Xenopus tropicalis: one gene and its partner. The protein of the gene in region 1 interacts with the protein of each later gene in a biochemical or structural test. Links are inferred from orthologs where the notes say so. Each region holds a gene or a part of one and is shown in the gene's direction. Other genes may lie near its edges.

Region 1 (10,487 bases):
TCTATAAATCTGGGTAGTGGCGCATTTTGACCAATGCGACTCTTAAGACATGCTCAGACAAAAATTCAAAATAAGCTGAAGCCCAACCAGTGCCTCACCGTACTGGTCAATAGCATTTTATAGCAGTCTTTCTGGCATATGCCAATATATCTGGACTACCACTCTGATCTTAGGGAGAACTGTGGCAATCAAACCCCAGTCCCAGTCTAATGGAACTGTGTACTGGTGAGCAATACTGCCTTGCTGATGCTGCAGTGCAGCTTAGGGAAGTGGATTTTATTTAGTACAGACCAAGCTTACAACAGATAAGGGCTATCCCTCATAGGGCATCATTGATGAAAGATCTTGTACCATTGTCCTTGGATCCAACTAAAGATTATTGGCTTTCCAGGAGTTGCAGTTCAGCTACATCTTGAGGACTACAGGTTGCCCAAGCCTGTTTAGATAAGCCATATTCATACCTTATTATCTCAAAGCCAAACTTAAAGGAAATACATTTATTTATAAATGCAAAGTTAGTTCTTTCTAAATATTACATGTAAACAAATGAGGACATTTGGAGGAAAGTATGGTGTTACTAAAGCGTTTAACATGTTGTAGGTGGGCCTTACAAAAGGCTCAGCATTTTTGGATCTGTACACCCCTAGAGGTGGAAAAGTTTTTTTCCGGCAATCAATCAGGTGCTTTCCTTCAAAAAGCATGCCAGGAAACTATCTGCTGATGGGTTGCTGTAGCATAGTTCTGTATTCATCTCTATTCTGTAGCCTCGTAGCTGTGGTAGAATCACTCTATCCCTTGGTTGCTGTAGCCTGGCAGAGGATGATGGGGAGCTGTAATTTGAAAGAAAAGCGAGTTGAAGCTCTCTGTCCCATGTTTCTGTATAAGAACATAAGGCAGGTTGTTTCCTGCAACATTAATCACAGTTTATATATAATGTGTAATTGAGTGATCCTCAGTGCCTCAAGATAGAAAAATGATTAGTTTTAATGTACTTGAAATTAAAAAGGACACCAGAGTAACATTGTTTTACACTGCTGAGTGTCAGGCACAACATATTTCAGATAATTACAGCTGTATTGCCAGTATGCCTTCACTTCTGGGAAAAGGAAAATCATTTGTTCTGTCATTTGTTTGTATGTATCTTATTAACCTTTTTGTGACTGCAAAATATAAAGCCAAGCCTACAACATCCCGGTCAGAAAGGGGTTAATTCTAAAAGAATATTTTTGTCAGAATATGATTGTTGTATTATTCAATTATTAATACTAATATTGATGTAAAAATGTTGGAAAACCCAGCAGGCTTGTCTCTTTATGCGTTACCCTGACCTTATATCTCAGCCCTCCCTTTTAGAATGTAAGCTCTTGCGAGCAGGGCCCTCCCCCTAGTGTCTCCAATCCTCATCCAATGTAACTGCAAACCATTTTTGTGAATTGTTTATATGTACATGTTAACTGTTCTGTCTTTTGTATTCTGTAAAGCGCTGTGTAAATTGATGGCGCTATATAAATAATAATAATAATAATTATGACTTGGATGACAGAAGATGACTTACACTTACACATTGTCTTTTTGTATTCTGTAAAGCGCTGTGTAAATTGATGGCGCTATATAAATAATAATAATAATAATTATGACTTGGATGACAGAAGATGACTTACACAGGCAGATCTGCTCATTTGGGAAGGTTTAGAAATGGGTGGATCTTTGCTCAGTTTGCCTACCCAAGTGGTGGGCAATTTTGGCCTGATCCGCCTGTTTGGCCCTGTACTTGTGATGTGATCACAAATGGAGCCTATGCAGCAGATCTGTTGGCAGAGGATAACATTTACAGCTCCAAGCGTTTTGTATATTCACATGGGAGTTTTATAATTTTGTATTTTACAATTTAAAAAACTTAAGGCACTAAACCACTAGGCAAGTGCCCATGTGAATAATGTATAATAAATATGACACTATATAATTTAATGTTTATGATACCAGATTTACAGTAAACTTACAATATAATCATAATGTAATCTCCTGACTAACAGTAAACTGCCCAACATATTCTGATTTGTTACATTTCTGTGTGATTATTATTGTAGGATAATATCCCTTTAAAGATGTACTTTTGCAGAATTTGTGGATGATTACTTGTGTGTGCTGGGTAAAATCAAGACAAATGAGTGTTTAAAGAGGCTTATGAGGCATCCCTCTCTCCCCTTGTATGTGATAGAATGTCAGCTGATGAAGACAGAACGACCAAAACCAAACACATTTATCATTCGGTGCCTCCAGTGGACCACAGTAATTGAAAGAACATTTCATGTGGATTCTCCTGAGGAGCGGTATGTTCTACTCATATTGCCATTCAAACACGGCTGTGCATATTTAATACTGCCCGTTAATCCAGCTGTTGTGAAATACATCATTTCTCTGGAAAGGAACAGTGTAGCTGTGTCCTTTGTTGCTCAGATCTGCAACACACAGCAAAGTTGGACTTTTCAACATTTAACTCTGAGCTGCCCCTGCTGCCATGAGGGGAGTTGAAAAACTCGCCTCAGGCGCCAGCATCCCCAAAGTTACCAGGGGCGGCAAAAAAGAGCTTAATTTCAAGTTTTTAAATGGCGGCAGCATCTCAGGGCAGCTCCATTAGATCGATTGAAAATTCAGGGACATTTCTAATAAATAACTGATTGCATTTAAATTAAACTAAAATCAGTTCAACCCTGCTAGCTTGATTTTCTAGTCATGTCCCTAAATATTTAAGTGGTCTGGTCACCCTGCTCTAGGCGTCCTTCAGAGATGCCCCTCTGGGGGTCCCCCTCTGTCTCTTGGTTGGTATGTATTGTGGCACTGCATGTTGGCTCATCCCTTTTGCCAGTACCCCCAGGAATGTGTACATATACAGAACACAGGAATAATAAATCAAGACCTAGTTTATTTCTGAGTTCCTCACCATTCTTGTTGATAGGGATGAATGATATCAATTGAATGAATTGAAATAGTTGGTATTTTGGGAAGAAAGATAAAAAAATATAGGAAGACCAGTATTTTATTCCAGTAAAGGGGTAAGACTATCTACAACAAATGTACAAGTGAATTGTGTCAGTTACCTGTTCCTCAGTGGGTATCTGGCACAGTTATTTTAATTGGGGACTGTGGCTTGGCACAATGTTGTAATAAACAAACATACTACCTGACTATTCAAAAAAGGAGAAGACTTGCACAACTATGCTATGGCACAGTGATGTGAAGATGATCAACATTTCACAAAATGCATTAAAGTCAATAGTTGTCAGCATTTCTTTCCAGCTCAAAAAGAATGTGTTTTTTTTTTTTTTTTTTTAAATCAACAAAACAAAATGCATGAAGATGTGGCAATTTGATGTTGGACACACTGACCAAAGCAGATGAACATGCCAGTGTTATTAGAGCACATGGAATGAAAAAAGCAAATGTGACAAAATCACTAATGTTATATTCTTACTGAGCAGTAGGGTTATAATTGTTTTGTTAAAAAAAAAAAAAAAAACCACTGATACATAATAAATATGCTCCTATGGGTCAGATGGGATGGAAGTATAAGCGTATGATCAGGATAAACGCATTTCAAAGTATGAGTTCTCCTTCCTTGAACATCACATCAGACTCACTGGCTTATTTACCAACATGGGGAAGTGACCTATGCCAACTATTCAGTATTTTACTTTAATTATTCTACCTGCAGCTGTCAAGGTAAAGGTAAACAACGGTGTTACTGTCCATATGTTGGTCAATAAGCCCCACTCTACTCACACTTCTCCAGCAATGCATGTGTATTTTTTCATTGTTTCATTGAAGGGAAGAATGGATTCAGGTTATACAACATGTAGCCGACAACCTTAAGAAACAGGAAGAAGAAATGATGGAGGTTCGGTCTGGCGACTCCCCAAGCGATAACTCTGGAGCCGAGGAAATGGAAGTTTCTCATTCGAAACCAAAACATAAAGTAGTAAGTGTCATTTTAATGTAAAATGTACAGGTTTGTAAGTAAGGGCTTTTTTATTAAATGGCACTATATTTATCAACAATGGAGCCAGACAAGTTATCCTAGTAACTCCGCTGTCTTTCAGTGGCCCCACCAAGCACAGAATTCCCTATCCAAATGTGACTAATATTGTATGCAAGGATGTCATACAGCTATAAAACTGATGGTTATATTATGTTATTAGATCAGTAAATTGGCCTTGCTTTATCTGAATTGGTACCATTTAACAGAGTGTTGAATTACAAATACATTTATTTAATCTCAACAGACAATGAATGAATTTGAGTATCTCAAGCTTTTGGGGAAAGGAACATTTGGGAAAGTTATTTTAGTCAAAGAGAAAGCAACAGGAAGATATTACGCTATGAAAATTTTAAAAAAAGAAGTTATTGTTGCAAAGGTAAGTGACCCGGAATTTCTCCAGGAATTCCCTCTCTCTCCCCGGAATGGTTATAGCATTCACTTTCTTGTATCAGCTCTTATTCTCATTCCTCGAGACAGTGCTTGTCTTTGATCTTTCATTCATTTATTTATTTATTTTTAAATAAAAAAAAATGTTTGAGGTATGCAGTGTCCATGGCAAATTCAGTAGCAGGACACCACTAAATTGAAGCAACATGGATATATTATTTTATGAAGATAAAACACACTTGTTATATAAGAGTGGCTGCTTGCCTAATGAATTGATAAATTCCAGTCCACCAGTCAGCAGCTTGGTGAAATCTGCTCTAGAATGAGTATTCTGTACCTTAAATGTTTCTTTTTTTCAGGATGAAGTAGCTCACACGCTAACAGAAAACCGCGTCCTGCAGAATTCTAGGCATCCCTTCCTAACAGTAAGTTTTAAATAGAAACATTGTGTTTTTTGCATTAATAATAAAGTTACCATGGAAAATGTATGTAAATATCTTGTAAGTTGGTTTCATAAGATACCACCATAATTATGGGTGTGTTTTATGGCTATTTGATAGCCCTGGATAAGAACTAGAACCATTGTATTTAATTGAGCTCATTTGTTAACTACTATATAGCCTATAGCCCAATTTCAACTTGAATGGTTGCCCCCATAGCTACACAGCAGCTTTTAAAGGAGAAGGAAAGACTAAGTCACTGGGGGGTGCCAAAATGTAAGCCACCCCCAGAGACTTTAATTGCTTACCTTTTACCCTGGGCTAGTGCTCCTGTGAGAAGAAGGAGTGTTTCCTTCCTTCTTCTGTCTTTGCGCCGGCCCCAGGATTCAGAAGAAAGAAGTAAGAGGAAACACTTGCTGCAGCTTCCCTGGGCTTATGTGGCTTCTCCTAATAGGAGCACCAGCCCGGGGTAAAAGGTAAGCGATTAAAGTTAAAAGGTAAGCAAGTAAGATTTTTACCTTTCGACTGCAGCCACAACAACTGCAGTCCTTGTAGACATAAAAATGAATGCTGTTTACTAATAATTTGTTTTTCTGGCCTATGGAGAAACCAGTATGGAAGCTGTAACAGATTATCCATAATTTTTAAAACAGCATCCTACATTTAACTTGCTGCTATTGCTGTGGCAATATAGTAAATATGTATTATATTTTAATGTTTTCAGTCCGTTCCTCTGAATTTATTGTTCCTTTAATGGCTGACCCTGAGGCTTTCCCCTCTGTGATATCTCATGGGTATGATGGGTGTTGGGCTTGCGTAGTGCAGCTTTTGCAGGGTCAGTTTGTTTAATTTGGCACCAATTTATAAAGTTCAGAAGACGGTTGGTTACTCAACTTTAATTTCTTGTAGGCACTGAAATATTCCTTTCAGACACATGATCGCTTATGTTTTGTCATGGAGTATGCCAATGGAGGAGAGGTTAGTACTGAGTAAATCTATCTTTCTATTGCCATTTCTATTATTTCCTACTCTGCACTGAAGTTGGTGCATTGGGGGAATCGTCTGATATGTGCTGATACTGGGCCATTTTTCATATGAGGCAAAAGAAGGTCAGTTTTGGTGCACAAAGCCGCCAAGGGGTTTTGTACTGGGAAGTGCAGCAGATCAGCTCAGAGCTGCAGTTATCGCCAGAAACCATAATGGCGAACATTTTTGGGTAATGTTTACTCAAGCAGGGCTATGCTTCATATTGATGTTGATGGTAAGTGACTCACAGAGGGGAGCGGGTATTTTCATTACATCAGCATGAAGTTCACCCCCTATGTGCCATAGATTTGACAGTAATATAAATGTGTTATTATATTATTATTATATTGTATATTATTAACCACCATCCTGCCGGTGCTATAAAACAGAAAGCCAATCAATAATCATGTTGTACATGTATTTAATCCACTGCTATAAAACTGCAGTGCTGTCTTTTTCTCCCCCTCCTTTATTTCTTCATATTTTTATGGTACAGACTAAGAAACTGCCCCTTCACCCCTATCTGCGCTATGGTTTGTCTGCAACTAGAGACACTGCACCCAGATCAGCTCTGTGTGTCTGTACCCAGGCGAGGCAGTGTCTCTGGGTGCAGACACCCCATAGATCAGATCGGAGAGGAGGGATAGTTTATCGGCCTGTGCTTATACACAGGCCAAGAAACTGCTCCGTGTTGCCCTGAACCGACTGCACCTATTCCAGTCGTTATAATTCGATCGTTTGGCCCCAGTAAATCACCAGTGGAAAGGCATATGCGTTGCATAGGTTTACTGAAATTGGCCAAAGTTTCCTTGTGAGGGAATGTTGGCAACTTAAAGGAACAGTAACACCAAAAAAATAAAGTGTATACAAGTAATAGCAATATAATGTACTGTTGCCCTCCATTGCTACAACTGGTGTGTTTGCCTCAGAAAGACTACTATAGTTTATATAAGTAAGCTGCTGTGTAGCCATGGGGGCAGCCATTCAAAGGAGAAAAGGCACAGGTTACTTAGCAGATAACAGATAAACCCCCATTATATGGGGCTTATCTACTAGTTATCTGCTATGTAAACTGTGCCTTTTTTCCAGCTTGAATGGCTGCCCCCATGGCTACACAGCAGCTTATTTATATAGTAGCTTTTCTGTAGCAAAAACACCAGTTTTTTGCAGAGCAACAGCACATTATATTTTAATTACTTTAAAACACTTTAATTTTTTGATGTTACTGTTCCTTTAATGATCTGTATGCCTTCCCACCAGCGATTCATATTATTGCTGGTGGAAAGGCATTTCAGAGAGATTAGTCTTCCATGGTATTGAGGATTTTTCATGGGCTCACTGTGGGCATCTCTAATCTCACTGTGGGTCATAGGGCCTTAGGTCTCGGATACCAAACACCCCCAGAGCACACGTTTGTGCTTGTAAATCATATGTTCCAATAGACTCCTACAAATGTTAACAGTACTTCAGCCTATCAGATCCTCATGCTGCCCACAGTACAATGGGACAAGAATACTCTGTGTTTAAAATTAACAGAGGAAAAGGGTTAATTTATTAGAAGATTCAATAGTTTTCTTTTTTCTCTAGTTATTCTTCCACTTATCAAGAGAACGTATATTCTCTGAAGATCGTGCCCGGTTTTATGGGGCAGAGATTGTTTCTGCTTTAGATTATCTTCATTCTGAGAAAAATGTAGTTTACAGAGACTTAAAGGTAAGTGTGCTCAGTGCTTATGAGTTGTTGAAGCTTTTTACCCTTTCATATTAACACACAAATTAATAAGGACAAAGCCATTGCTAAATCTTCAGGTCCCTGGCTATGTCAAAAGACCATCCATTAATTGGCATACAGGTAATTGGATGGAGTGTTGGCAAAATGAGAGGTATGAGTAAAACCAGAGGGCTTTTTGGGAAGCTTTAACTACTACATTTTTTAGTAGCTAAAAAACGTCCAAACGCCCTCCTATAGTCTAGCATTGCAGTCACTTACCATATATATGTATATATGCATGGCTTGTTCCCATGCTTCCAAGCAAAAAAAAAAAAAAAAAAGCTTGTTCCCATGCTTGTCATGTGATTGCGTAGTCACTTTCTGGTTCTAGCACTGGGGTCCTAGGTTTGATTCTAGTCAGGGCACTATCCTCAAGTTAGTTTGTATGTTCACCCCATGTATGTGTGTGGCTATCCAAGGTGGGGTGCTCAGATTTCTTAGCACTATCCAAAAACATACAGAAAGGTTAACTGGCTTCTCATAATATTGCCCAGTGTGTGTGAATGTGTGGTTGAGGCAGGCACTGATGTGAATGATGTTTAAATGTTGCTGTGGTGCATTATAAAAAAAATAAATCATAATAATATAAAGCAAACATTTAAAGATTTAAAGTTTGGTTTATTTATGCAGGCAAAACTAAAACCTTTTAAACTTATTTCCCTTTTAAGAATGACCTCTATTCTTTGCCTTGGCAAGTAACGCAGCATCTGCAGCCAATGTTTTCTGCTTGTGATGAGTGAGTGTTTTCACAACAGCGTGTAACTGTTGGTAACTGCTGCAGGGATCGCTTGCTTTACCTGTTACACACTAGCAATAAAACACTTCCTCTTCACATTTTCAGCAGTTTGATGTGGCCAAAAGAACATGCTCCTTTGTGTATTGACAATCTCCATGAAACCATACCGGCTGGGTTATCTAAGGCTAGATGTACTAGACAGATGCAAGATAAGAGAGTGGGAAGAAGAAACATCTGCTTGTGTTCAGAATGCAAATGCAGCCTCTTAAGGTGGCCATACACCGTAAGATTTGCTTGTTTGGTGAGGTTGCCAAACAAGCAAATCATTCCCCTGTTATGCCCTTGGGGGGGCAATATTGTGCCAGTGCCCTAGGGCCAAACCATCACATTGCAATGAAGGGGATAGGAAAAGTCGGAGCAAGGACTGCAATGAGCCGATGCAGTCCCTGATCTGATGAAAAATTAAGCATGTCTGATCAACATCTGTCCAGTTTTTGCCCAGATATTGGTCGGAGGGCCCCATACATGGGCAGATAAGCTGCCGACTCGGTCTTAAGGACCCAAATTGGCAGCTGAAATCTGCCCATGTATGGCCACCCTTAGTCCTGTTCTGTCTGTAAAGCAACTGGTTTCTTTGCTGTTATTTTTTAAAGTTGGAAAATCTAATGCTGGACAAAGATGGACACATAAAGATAACTGATTTTGGCCTGTGCAAGGAAGGAATAAAAGACGGAGCAACCATGAAGACGTTCTGTGGCACACCAGAATATCTCGCTCCTGAGGTATGTAACTGTTTGTTGTTTATACGCTTCTTTTTTTATATGGGGTTTATTGTGAACCAACCATCATACAGTCTGCATTGCTGGGGTAGGCTGTATACATGGGAAAAGGTGTTGATATGGACTAATGTCATTGGAGATATAAGTGGAGGTAAGGCCAAAAAAGAGAGATTAGCAGCAGATATTAACTAAAACATATCAAGATATTCTGTATTTTGTTGTCTTGTAGTTCCCCAGTTCAGTTGTTTGTTCCCTTCAACCTATCCGTATCCTTCTAGTTTAAACCCTATGACTTAGTCTGCCTTCAGGGCACAGACACACAATTCAGTGGTCTGGTCTTAAGCTACAAGCAAAGTGATCCTTGTTATAACCGTTCTTAGGGCCACTGTACTGCTTCCCAGGTACAGCTGTCCAATGGCTCCTATTCCTCTTATACCACTATTTCCTTACATGCATTGGATGAACTTATAATACATAGGGCAGCAATTTCTGTGAAAGAAAGGGACTTTTTTTTGCTGCAGTCCCAAAATGCAACCAGATATACCCACAACTCTGACCCACTTTCAGCACACCCAAGCATCTCATTTGGGTGCAGTGCCACTTGTAATAGCTTTGCTGAAAACTATAGCTTATAATTCAGTTTAAAAATGAAACTGGGTAAAATAGATAGGCTGAGCAAAATAAAATATATTTATTTTATAGTTAGTTAGGCAAAAATGTAATCTATAAAGGCTGGAGCGAGCCAATGTCTAACATAATAGCCACAACACAACTTTCTGATTTCAGCTCTCTAACCTCTTAGTTAGTCCACAACTTCAGGGGGAAGCACATGAGACATAACTGTTCAGTTAGTTTGTGAGCGCGCAGGACCATTATGTTTGACATCTGTCCATGCCAACCTTTATTTTATTTTGCACAGTCTATCTATTTTACCCAGTTTCATTTTTACACTGAACTATTCATTTAAGGCTGCAAAAGAATACTTACATTGTCTGATTTGTGTTGCAGACAAAAGTAATAGATGTTTAAAAGGGGAATACATTTGGTTCCCTTTAAAAATGACACCCCTTGAACACCATGTAAGTTTGGAATGCAGACATAGATATTTGAGATTTGATTGCTGTATTAAATGAATGGTAAAAATATAATAATGTTTGGTTCCAGATACAAATGCTTGCTTACTTCCAGACCTGCTGTATAAAGCTTAAGACATTTTGTGCAAGTGTGATACAACATTATATAATAGTAAACCCTATTAAAGTAACAACATCTGTGTTGTTATGTGTTTGTGTGTGTGTAATTGAAAAGCAGGA
Region 2 (10,507 bases), on another chromosome or scaffold:
AATTAATTACAAATTAGCCCTGCAGGATGTGGATTCTATATATATATTTTTGTAATCCTATTCGTAAGTTGTAATTAAAAATATTAGCCTAATTATTTAAATTGGCTCAGTTAGCTGCTTTCTGTGTATTTGCAAAATGTCAGTCTTGATGGCAGTCAGAAGCATTTGTAGGTACAGCACATTGGAATGTATTCTTATTCACATGCCAAGACACTGCAGCTGGGTACAAAGGACGGTGTTCAGGAAGAAATAGTATAAAACTGCAAAATGTACACATTTAGCCTGCTTCAACCTTATACTAACAGAACAGGTGGGCGGAACCTGAATCCCTAATATGCTTCTCTTCTCATTCCTCTGATGTCATATTCATTTTTCAGGGCTGGGGCTGATGAGAAATAATGGTTATTTTACATCTGAGGCAAAAGCCCTTCTGACGGGATAACTGTGTTTCAACCACATGGCCGTGCGTTGGCATCATTTAAATTTCCTAGGCCTTTATTATTGAGAAACAGGTAACACATATTGCTAGTGATATATTCAGGTAATACCACTGCTAAGCAGAGGGGCCTGAGTGGTTACTAAGTACAAATTAAAAATATGAAAGTGAATATTTTGTGTACAAAATAGGATCTATAATCCATAATGCCTGGGCTTTCCGAATTAGAAGTTTTTTTTTTGTGTAAAAAACTATCCCACAGCCACAGTGGCTATGGCTACTATAGGCACCATCTCTCCCTACTATACCTGCTATCCCACAGCCACAGTCCCTTCCCAGAGGCTATTATCCCCCACTGCTACTATAGGCACCATCTCTCCCTACTATATCTGCTATCCCACAGCCACAGTCCCTTCCTAGAGGCTATTATCACCCACTGCTACTATAGGCACCATCTCTCCCTACTATACCTGCTATCCCACAGCCACAGTCCCTTCCCAGAGGCTATTATCCCACTGCTACTATAGGCACCATCTCTCCCTACTATACCTGCTATCCCACAGCCACAGTCCCTTCCCAGAGGCTATTATCCCCCACTGCTACTATAGGCACCATCTCTCCCTACTATACCTGCTATCCCACAGCCACAGTCCCTTCCCAGAGGCTATTATCCCACTGCTACTATAGGCACCATCTCTCCCTACTATACCTGCTATCCCACAGCCACAGTCCCTTCCCAGAGGCTATTATCCCACTGCTACTATAGGCACCATCTCTCCCTACTATACCTGCTATCCCACAGCCCCAGTCCCTTCCCAGAGGCTATTATCCCCCCACTGCTACTAAAGGCACCATCTCTCCCTACTATACCTGCTATCCCACAGCCCCAGTCCCTTCCCAGAGGCTATTATCCCCCCACTGCTACTATAGGCACCATCTCTCCCTACTATACCTGCTATCCCACAGCCACAGTCCCTTCCCAGAGGCTATTATCCCCCCACTGCTACTATAGGCACCATCTCTCCCTACTATACCTGCTATCCCACAGCCACAGTCCCTTCCCAGAGGCTATTATCCCCCCACTGCTACTATAGGCACCATCTCTCCCTACTATACCTGCTATCCCACAGCCACAGTCCCTTCCTAGAGGCTATTATCCCCCACTGCTACTATAGGCACCATCTCTCCCTACTATACCTGCTATCCCACAGCCACAGTCCCTTCCCAGAGGCTATTATCCCACTGCTACTATAGGCACCATCTCTCCCTACTATACCTGCTATCCCACAGCCACAGTCCCTTCCCAGAGGCTATTATCCCCCCACTGCTACTAAAGGCACCATCTCTCCCTACTATACCTGCTATCCCACAGCCCCAGTCCCTTCCCAGAGGCTATTATCCCCCCACTGCTACTATAGGCACCATCTCTCCCTACTATACCTGCTATCCCACAGCCACAGTCCCTTCCCAGAGGCTATTATCCCCCCACTGCTACTATAGGCACCATCTCTCCCTACTATACCTGCTATCCCACAGCCACAGTCCCTTCCCAGAGGCTATTAACCCCCCACTGCTACTATAGGCACCATCTCTCCCTACTATACCTGCTATCCCACAGCCACAGTCCCTTCCCAGAGGCTATTATCCCCCACTGCTACTATAGGCACCATCTCTCCCTACTATACCTGCTATCCCACAGCCACAGTCCCTTCCCAGAGGCTATTATCCCCCCACTGCTACTATAGGCACCATCTCTCCCTACTATACCTGCTATCCCACAGCCACAGTCCCTTCCCAGAGGCTATTATCCCCCACTGCTACTATAGGCACCATCTCTCCCTACTATACCTGCTATCCCACAGCCACAGTCCCTTCCCAGAGGCTATTATCCCACTGCTACTATAGGCACCATCTCTCCCTACTATACCTGCTATCCCACAGCCCCAGTCCCTTCCCAGAGGCTATTATCCCACTGCTACTATAGGCACCATCTCTCCCTACTATACCTGCTATCCCACAGCCACAGTCCCTTCCCAGAGGCTATTATCCCCCACTGCTACTATAGGCACCATCTCTCCCTACTATACCTGCTATCCCACAGCCACAGTCCCTTCCCAGAGGCTATTATCCCCCCACTGCTACTATAGGCACCATCTCTCCCTACTAAAGCACAGACACAGGTGCCTCACAAAGGCTATTGTCGCTACTACTCTCAAAACCATGGCTGCCCCAACATATTGCGCGCTATGACATTTAGCACGGTCCCCGCAGTCGCCCCCCCGTCATTAACCCCCAAAGCGAGCCATATCCGCGAACATATAGATTGTAAGCTCTACGGGGCAGGGACCTCGTTCATCTTGTTTCTGACTCTTATTGCAACTGTACCTTGTATTTATTTGTATTTATTGTTGTACTTTGTATTTATCCATTATCTTTAACACCGTTTGTATTTATGTATTCTACTGTACAGCACTGCGTACATAAGTAGCGCTTTATAAATAAAGATATACATACATACACACACAACCAAGGACTATCAATAAATGCCCCAAACAACACTGCTCAATGCACTAACAAACAACTCCCCTCGCATACTAGAACCCCGCCCCTTTCTGAAGTAACACCACGGTACTATTTCAGCTAACTAACCCGGCCCCTCCCTCTGGGCGGAGCTAAAGTTCATCACGTGGGGCACGCATACACGTACGAGCTTTAGGCTAGAGAAATGATATTGATAATGTAATGAGAAGTACGTGTGCGAGTAAAGTCCCGCCGGTGTGTCGGTGTGTGGGGCAGTATGATGACCCTCACTGGGAGCTTGCCTATTGTTCCTAGGTTTGGGCAAGCTGAGTTGGCAGCCAACATGTTGGGGAGAGGGGGCGTGGCCTTGCCGATATAAATGGGGGAGGCGGCGAGTGGTGGAGGCTGGTGGCGGTGACGTCTGTAGCTGTGCGACCCGGGGGGCTCTGGTTCGGCTCAGTGAGGGCTGCAGGTAAATCTTGTTTGTGCGGCTTGCGGCTGTCTGTCTGCGTCCAACATTGCACGGGTAGGCAGCGATTGGGAGGGGATGCTGGGAGCAGTAGTCGGAGCTCTGCTAGCTTGGGCTGGCTGCATAAACGTTATAAGCCTGTGGGTTGTGCTCAGCCGGTTTGCACTCTTGAAACGTTTCAATGATTTTAAATTGATTTGTAAATTGCTTTTAAGGCTGTTGCTCTACTCTGCACTGCGGCTTCTGCCTGTATTACAGATTGGAAAGTTTTTGTTATTTTGTTTTTCTGCACAAAATTACTGGGTTTTGTTAGTTACCTGGGAGTTGAGGGATTTGCTCCTTTTTGCATGGCTTCTAATAACCAGGCTGTTGGCAATGCATGCTGGGACATTCATAGAGAGCAGGGTGCACATCTGGAACTTGCCATAGACAAAGGGTTAAAGTGGGGCTTTATGGCTCTCTGGCCTGTGGGTTTTCCAGGCCCCCTACACCTGTGCCTCCTGTGCCTAATGTCACTTGGAGTGTGCTAAGGAGGGACAATGTAGCAGGCCCTGGTGTCAAGAAACCGCCAGTACGCTCCATGTCTGTCCCCTTAGAAACCGCCAGTACGCTCCATGTCTGTCCCCTTAGAAACCGCCAGTACGCTCCATGTCTGTCCCCTTAGAAACCGCCAGTACGCTCCATGTCTGTCCCCTTAGAAACCGCCAGTACGCTCCATGTCTGTCCCCTTAGAAACCGCCAGTACGCTCCATGTCTGTCCCCTTAGAAACCGCCAGTACGCTCCATGTCTGTCCCCTTAGAAACCGCCAGTACGCTCCATGTCTGTCCCCTTAGAAACCGCCAGTACGCTCCATGTCTGTCCCCTTAGAAACCGCCAGTACGCTCCATGTCTGTCCCCTTAGAAACCGCCAGTACGCTCCTTGTCTGTCCCCCTTAGAAACCGCCAGTACGCTCCATGTCTGTCCCCTTAGAAACCGCCAGTACGCTCCATGTCTGTCCCCTTAGAAACCGCCAGTACGCTCCATGTCTGTCCCCTTAGAAACCGCCAGTACGCTCCATATCTGCAGACTGATGGTAATTGTATCCTTTCAGTGTGTGTGTTGGTAGGTGGGTGCCATTGCAGTTATTGTTTGCAACATTGGGTAGATAAGGGGATTATTATTTTCTCAGCAGGGGTGGCATTATTTTAATTCCTTGTTTGGAATATTTAAAAGGAAATCCAGTTTCTAAACCAAAATTTGTTAAAGAGCCCCACACAACAACAAAACTCTAATATACCTATCCCTGTAATCTGTTCCTTCCTAAAGTATGCATAAATACTATTTTTATATGCTGAAATCCAGCAGCAAAACCATTCATTTTTCTGCCTCATTTGAAATCCTGGCAGGGGAGGAGGGACTAAAACATGGATGTTTCAAATTGTAACAACTCGCAACTTACTGACCTCATGCATGAACTACATAACCCACAATGCATTGCACTGAGATTCCTTTCTTATTGACACCATGTGTGCAGGGGATTGTGGGAAATGCTTGTTTAGAACAATGCATAATCTATTTTGGTCTGTTGGGCACATTGTAGTTCATCTTTAAGTTAACTCTTGGTATCTTATAGAATGGGCTATTTATGTATACAGCACACAGGGCCATGTTTTCTATATAGGCACTCGAAGGCCCTTGTCTAGGGGTGTCCTTTGATGCCTATATATAAAAAAAAAAATTTTATTTTAAAATTTAAATATTTTCTTGGTTAAATCTGGCAGTGGAGCCGAGACAGAAGGGGGGGTAACCATCGCTCTTGAGGGTCAGGAAGGGGGTGGCTGAAGTCCGATTCCTAGGGCAGAGCTGGGCCCTTTTCTTCCAGAAAAGAAAGAAGAAAGCAGTAGGATTCCCAAAGCAATCATGTGCTACTTTGTAACCGCAATGAAAGTACATTAACCTTTTGACTGCCAGCCTTTGCAGATTCTTCTTGATTCCCAGTGGTTTGATAAAAGTTGGTACTTCAGTAGATTCTACAGCATTGACTTGCAAAGTGACGGGCTTTTAGGGACACAAACACTATTGCAGTGCTACCCATGTAACTTCCATGCAGCCAGCATTTTTATTGAGGAATCTCATACAAAGGATAGCCTGTGACTCATTAAGTCCAGCATTTATCTATCATTATGGAGTAACTTGCCTGTAAAATTTCATAACACAATGTAGATGTGACTGAATCTTTCCCTGTACCCACCTGCTTGTAAGTGTGTTAAAGGGATTATGTCATGATTTTTATGGTATTAGTTTTTATGGTAGGATAGTCTTTATTACTAAATTACACTGTGTACATTGCAAATAATTCACTCTACCATTTAAAATGTTATTCTTTAACCAATCTTTTTTTTTTTTTTTTTTTTAAGCTGTAATATTAGTGTAGGCAGCCATCTCAGTGCACTGCAATAGCAAAACCGTACTTGGGTTTCTCCTGCTTGGGTGCTATTCTCCTGTCTACCACTAGGTGAGGCATGGGAGCATATTCAGCAATGCAAATGATTTCTGAATACATTTTGATTATACAGTGCTTAATCTGTGGGCGGAAAAATATGGCAATCTCTCTCCAGATTATCCTTATAGGCAGGGGTCCCCAACCTTACAACAAAAGCACACAAGTTTCTGGGGTGCCAATTATAGGCTGTGATTAGCTATTGGTAGCCCCTACATGGTCTGGCAGCAGGAGGTTCTGTTGGGCAATTACACTGGGTTTTTATGCAGTCAAAGCTTGCCGCTAACCTCTTATTCAAAAATAAGCACCTGCTTTGAGACCCTTGGGAGCAACATCCAATGGTATGGTGCGTAACATGTTGCTCACATCCCACTGGTTGGGGATCACTGCCCTGAGAGTAACAAGGGAAAAGCCAGGGTCACCAAAAATAATTTTGTCTAATAAAAGAAAACTTAATATTAAGCAACTTTGCAATATACATTCATTACAAATTTGTAATGGCTTTTAATCTTTGTGATTATATTACTGCTATTAAAAGTAATGTTTGTCCTTTTCTCTGAGTTTGGAAACAATGTAACACAAACCAACAGACTGACAGACTTCTCTGGCTAGAGGAGACTACCCTTTGCAACATTGTTTAAAAAGTAAAAACCAGGAGTTCAGCAAATGCTGCCTTCAATAGCAATTACATAGCAATTTCTAAATACAGTTTAAATTACTAAACATTTTTAATAAATTCATATTGGAAAACTGCTTAGAATTTTCTTTTATTGGCAAAAATTATTTTTTGGATTGACATCCTTTAAAACGGGGTCGAACCAAACCCACAAACTTATGGATTCAGCCGGATACCAAATCATTCTTTAATATGCATATTACATACATATTGTCGCATTTGATAGTCTAAAACTGTAAAGTCACATGACCTAAAGTCCTTTCACTCCTACTTCTGCCAGTCATATATAATTGGCTTAGGGGGTGGGGGGACAGGTGCTGCCCTAAAGGTAAGTCATCAATTCCCACAAGCATTTTAGTTGTCAAATGTCCCTTTATAAATTCAACAGTAGGATTATTTTATCCTTCCGTCCATTGGACTAACTGATTTCTACCCTTTGTTCCATGAATAGGGTTAGACACATCTCACCAACATGACTGACATGGCTGACAATCACCAGGAGGCTTGGGAGGTGTTGGTTAATGCTGCAGAAAAATACCGCAGACTGACTGGAAATGATATAGTGCTAATAACTGCTTACAAACCCAAACTGCTTTCCTCCTTCGAATATTCTATTCACGGGAGTGGGATGCTCTTGGAGGCCACTCAACGCTACCTTGATGACATTTCTGTAGTGCACAAAACCACTGCCTTTACCAGCCCTATGCCCATCTACACAACAAATGAGACCTCATCGGGCAGACAGAACTCATACTCAAAGAGCTACCCTTCTATTTACGGCCGAGAAGGGTTTTCTTCAGTTGAGGACAATGACAAGCCCATTCCCATAATCCAAAACCAAATGCCAGACATTATGTCCAAACTAGAGGCCCAAGAAGATGAAGAGGACTATGACTACAACAAGCATTTGGAAAAGGCTGGGGAACATATTCCTAGTGACTCGACAGGTAAGAAGGATACTCTGGTTTTTATTTGGAATGTAGAGCCACGACACCTAACTCTGCATATCGCTATTTGTGGCACTGTGCTTCAGTGGTTCGCTCTTGGGCCTTGCTGTGCTGAAACCCTTAGTTCAGTTCTAGACTTGGCAGGAAATCTATTTAGTTTTAAACTACTTACTATGGAGGTAGACTTACCCTAAAGGTATGCATCAGAGCAGGCCCGGCTTGGCAATCTGGGATTTCTGGCAAATGCCAGAGGGGCAGCCATAGATGGTCACTATTTATTGGACTGGTCGGGGGGCTGCTGGTCTTCATTATAGTTATAGTTTGAATTATGTGCCGCCACCTTCCAACTCTGCAGTTTTTAAATGGGGGGGGGGGGGGGTCTTCTACCCCCCCCTCTACTTTATACTTTTACCCCTGCAATCGCTAAAATATATTTTGGACTTTTGAGGATGGTTGCCGTTATTGGCTGAAATTGTATCATGCAACAATTCAGAATTAATCCTGCTGTGCAGTCCTGCAGGAGGTGTGAGGCTCCCCTTGCTTGATACACTGGTGTCACACTAACACTGTTTTTACCCAACTCTGTGCTGTAGGACTGATGCAACTTACTACAGGTCTACCAATTTCTATATAGCTTTTATGAGACCAGCGGCGTACACAATTCAGTGCTGTCTCAGACCCACAGTGTTAAATAAACTGCATGTGTAGTACAATACTTCTGCAAAGGGTTTTTGTACTGTGCATGGGGCAAGCCTGAACTCACGGGGGAATCCTGGGAAAAGATGGCAGCAACCTGCTCTGGTTGGAAGTACCCCTAGGCATTTACAGTGCACGTTTTTGAATAGGAGGAGAATGGAACCAGGGTATGGCAAACCTATTTGTACCCTCCCCCAGTGATTCTCTTAGTTCATTTGAAACCTGTCCCCAACCTAAGGGTTGGGGATGGATGGGTCCCTTCAAGGCACCTTTATTGTCCCAAGGCTCCTAACTGTGCTACATGTTATAGCAGTCTACATTGATCATTATAATGGCAAAAAGCCTCCCCAGGTATAGAGACCAATACTGCCAGAACCATCCCTGTGTGTGTGTGTGTACTTCACTTACATTATATAAATGATATAAACCTTGTTTCCTTTACTCTTGGAACTACACAATCACAGCAAGCAGGCAGCTGCCATTTTGTGGACACTGTTAAGGCAAGCTTTGTATCACCCCAAAATCTTGTGTATGTGCCAGAATGGGGGACCTGATGCCCATGCTCATGCTTTGGCTACACATTTTGATGGTGAAGAGGGAGGGGGATGTGAGTGCTGAATGGAAAGTTAGTGACTGTCTGCGCCACCTCTGTGCCTAATGCATAGAGGCAGGGTAGGCAATATGATTGACAGCATGGATTTTTAAATGCCCTTATAATGGGTTTGGATGTGTTTAATATAAAAATGAATTTGGGGTTCGTGTTTAATTTTGGAAAGGACTATACATTGTTGTTGGGGGGAAAAAGTAGGCAGTACAGGGAGCATTTTGGTTTTTCATGAAGCTGATCTATTAGGGCTGCTGTGCTGCCTTCATGCTTATTATACATTTATAAAACAGGACGTAAAACAGGATTTTTTAGTTCCCCTTTAAAAAAAAAAAAAAAGTATAGGGTCTTTTGTAGACTTTGCAATTGCCCAAACTTGAATGCCTAGTACTAACAAACCACGTAAGATCTGGGCAGTATTCTCATAATATCCCCTTGGGCCCATGCCTCTTGTACATAAAAATAACCTGTAGATCACATGGCATTTAACTAAAAGTGCACTTTTCATTATGCAGGGGGTGTGGTTTGTGCTTTAGTTGTGTTTAACAACCTATGCTGTAACTAGTAATATTTGAATTCAAAAATGTTATGTGCAGTTTACACTCTTTAACACAAGGTGGCGCTCTAGGCGCTAGAACATCTACCCTTTGAGCAGTTTCTTATTTCTCAGTGTTTTTGCTCAGGTCTCTTTGTGATGGATGAGGACTCCAACAGCCAAGACTGTGAACCTTTTTTTGAATCTGACCAAGAAGAAAGTACTGATGGTAAGATCAGGGTTGCCCCAAAGTGGGTTTATGACTGTAAAGCAGTAGGTTTTATCATAGTAAAATATATACTTAATCTATAGGTTATGTTGCACAGCTCGGTTTTCTGTTTTACTGCATGTTTGTGCAATACTGTTCACAATATACATATGTGAATGTTATCTTGAAGCTGCATTTTTACCAAAAGCATAAACTCCGTGTAACAGTCTGTTCACTTGTGTTTTTTTAGTCCGTCAGATGAGCTTGCAACATTGTTTGAGGAGCCAGGCATATATTGCTTTTAACAGCAATTAAATATACAAATAACATTAAACCATTCAAAGTTGCATTCATACATATTGGAAAGCAGGTTTTTTGGGGGGTTTTTTTGCAGGTTCCCCCTTGGCTACAAAGGCAGTTATTCTTTTAGCTATATAGTACTTACATCTCTTGCAGCAGTGTAGCATTCAGTTACATCAGTCCCTGCTCTAATGGAGCTTTACTATCAAAGTCCCTATCCCTTTCACTAGGGTTGGTTATCAGTAGCTGGTTAACAAGACTATGTCTAGAAAAGGTGGCAGAAAACCCCAAAAATACCATAGGTGCAGCTTTATGGTCTTTACACCCCCACCCCCCTGCCTCAATCCAGAAACCTCAACCGGCTGTGTTGTCCCTACGCACAGTGTGTGGCTTAATAGTTCCACTGCTGTCAAAAATGACTGATGAAAATGTCAATTGACAAAGCTGAAGGCAGAGGACAACATTAAGCTCCTTCTGGAGGCTTATGTGAGCAGATTACATCCAAACACTCTGGGATTCCTGTCTAACATTGTCTGCAAATACACTTTCACTTATTAAGCCTGACTTCTATTAACCTCTGCTGCATCCCATGTTTCCCCATTTCTTTTTGAGCAGAGGTTCAACTGTGGGTCTCC

Evidence for each region. The genes of interacting proteins can lie anywhere in the genome.
Region 2: of the proteins of akt1 (region 1) and akt1s1, one has a biochemical effect on the other in vitro, tested with the Homo sapiens proteins (2 studies listed by BioGRID). The link is inferred for Xenopus tropicalis from reciprocal best matches to the Homo sapiens genes AKT1 and AKT1S1.

What each region holds. Positions count from the first base shown.
Region 1 is NC_030684.2:99,686,628-99,697,114, reverse strand, and holds part of akt1 (RAC-alpha serine/threonine-protein kinase), read left to right. Parts: intron 1-2,218; coding exon 2,219-2,330; intron 2,331-3,825; coding exon 3,826-3,976; intron 3,977-4,280; coding exon 4,281-4,412; intron 4,413-4,782; coding exon 4,783-4,848; intron 4,849-5,772; coding exon 5,773-5,841; intron 5,842-7,476; coding exon 7,477-7,602; intron 7,603-9,048; coding exon 9,049-9,177; intron 9,178-10,487. UniProt on the Homo sapiens protein: AKT1 is one of 3 closely related serine/threonine-protein kinases (AKT1, AKT2 and AKT3) called the AKT kinase, and which regulate many processes including metabolism, proliferation, cell survival, growth and angiogenesis.
Region 2 is NC_030683.2:111,138,414-111,148,920, reverse strand, and holds the start of akt1s1 (proline-rich AKT1 substrate 1), read left to right. Parts: upstream 1-3,369; 5' UTR 3,370-3,428; intron 3,429-7,033; 5' UTR 7,034-7,054; coding exon 7,055-7,529; intron 7,530-9,512; coding exon 9,513-9,593; intron 9,594-10,507. UniProt on the Homo sapiens protein: Negative regulator of the mechanistic target of rapamycin complex 1 (mTORC1), an evolutionarily conserved central nutrient sensor that stimulates anabolic reactions and macromolecule biosynthesis to promote cellular biomass generation and growth.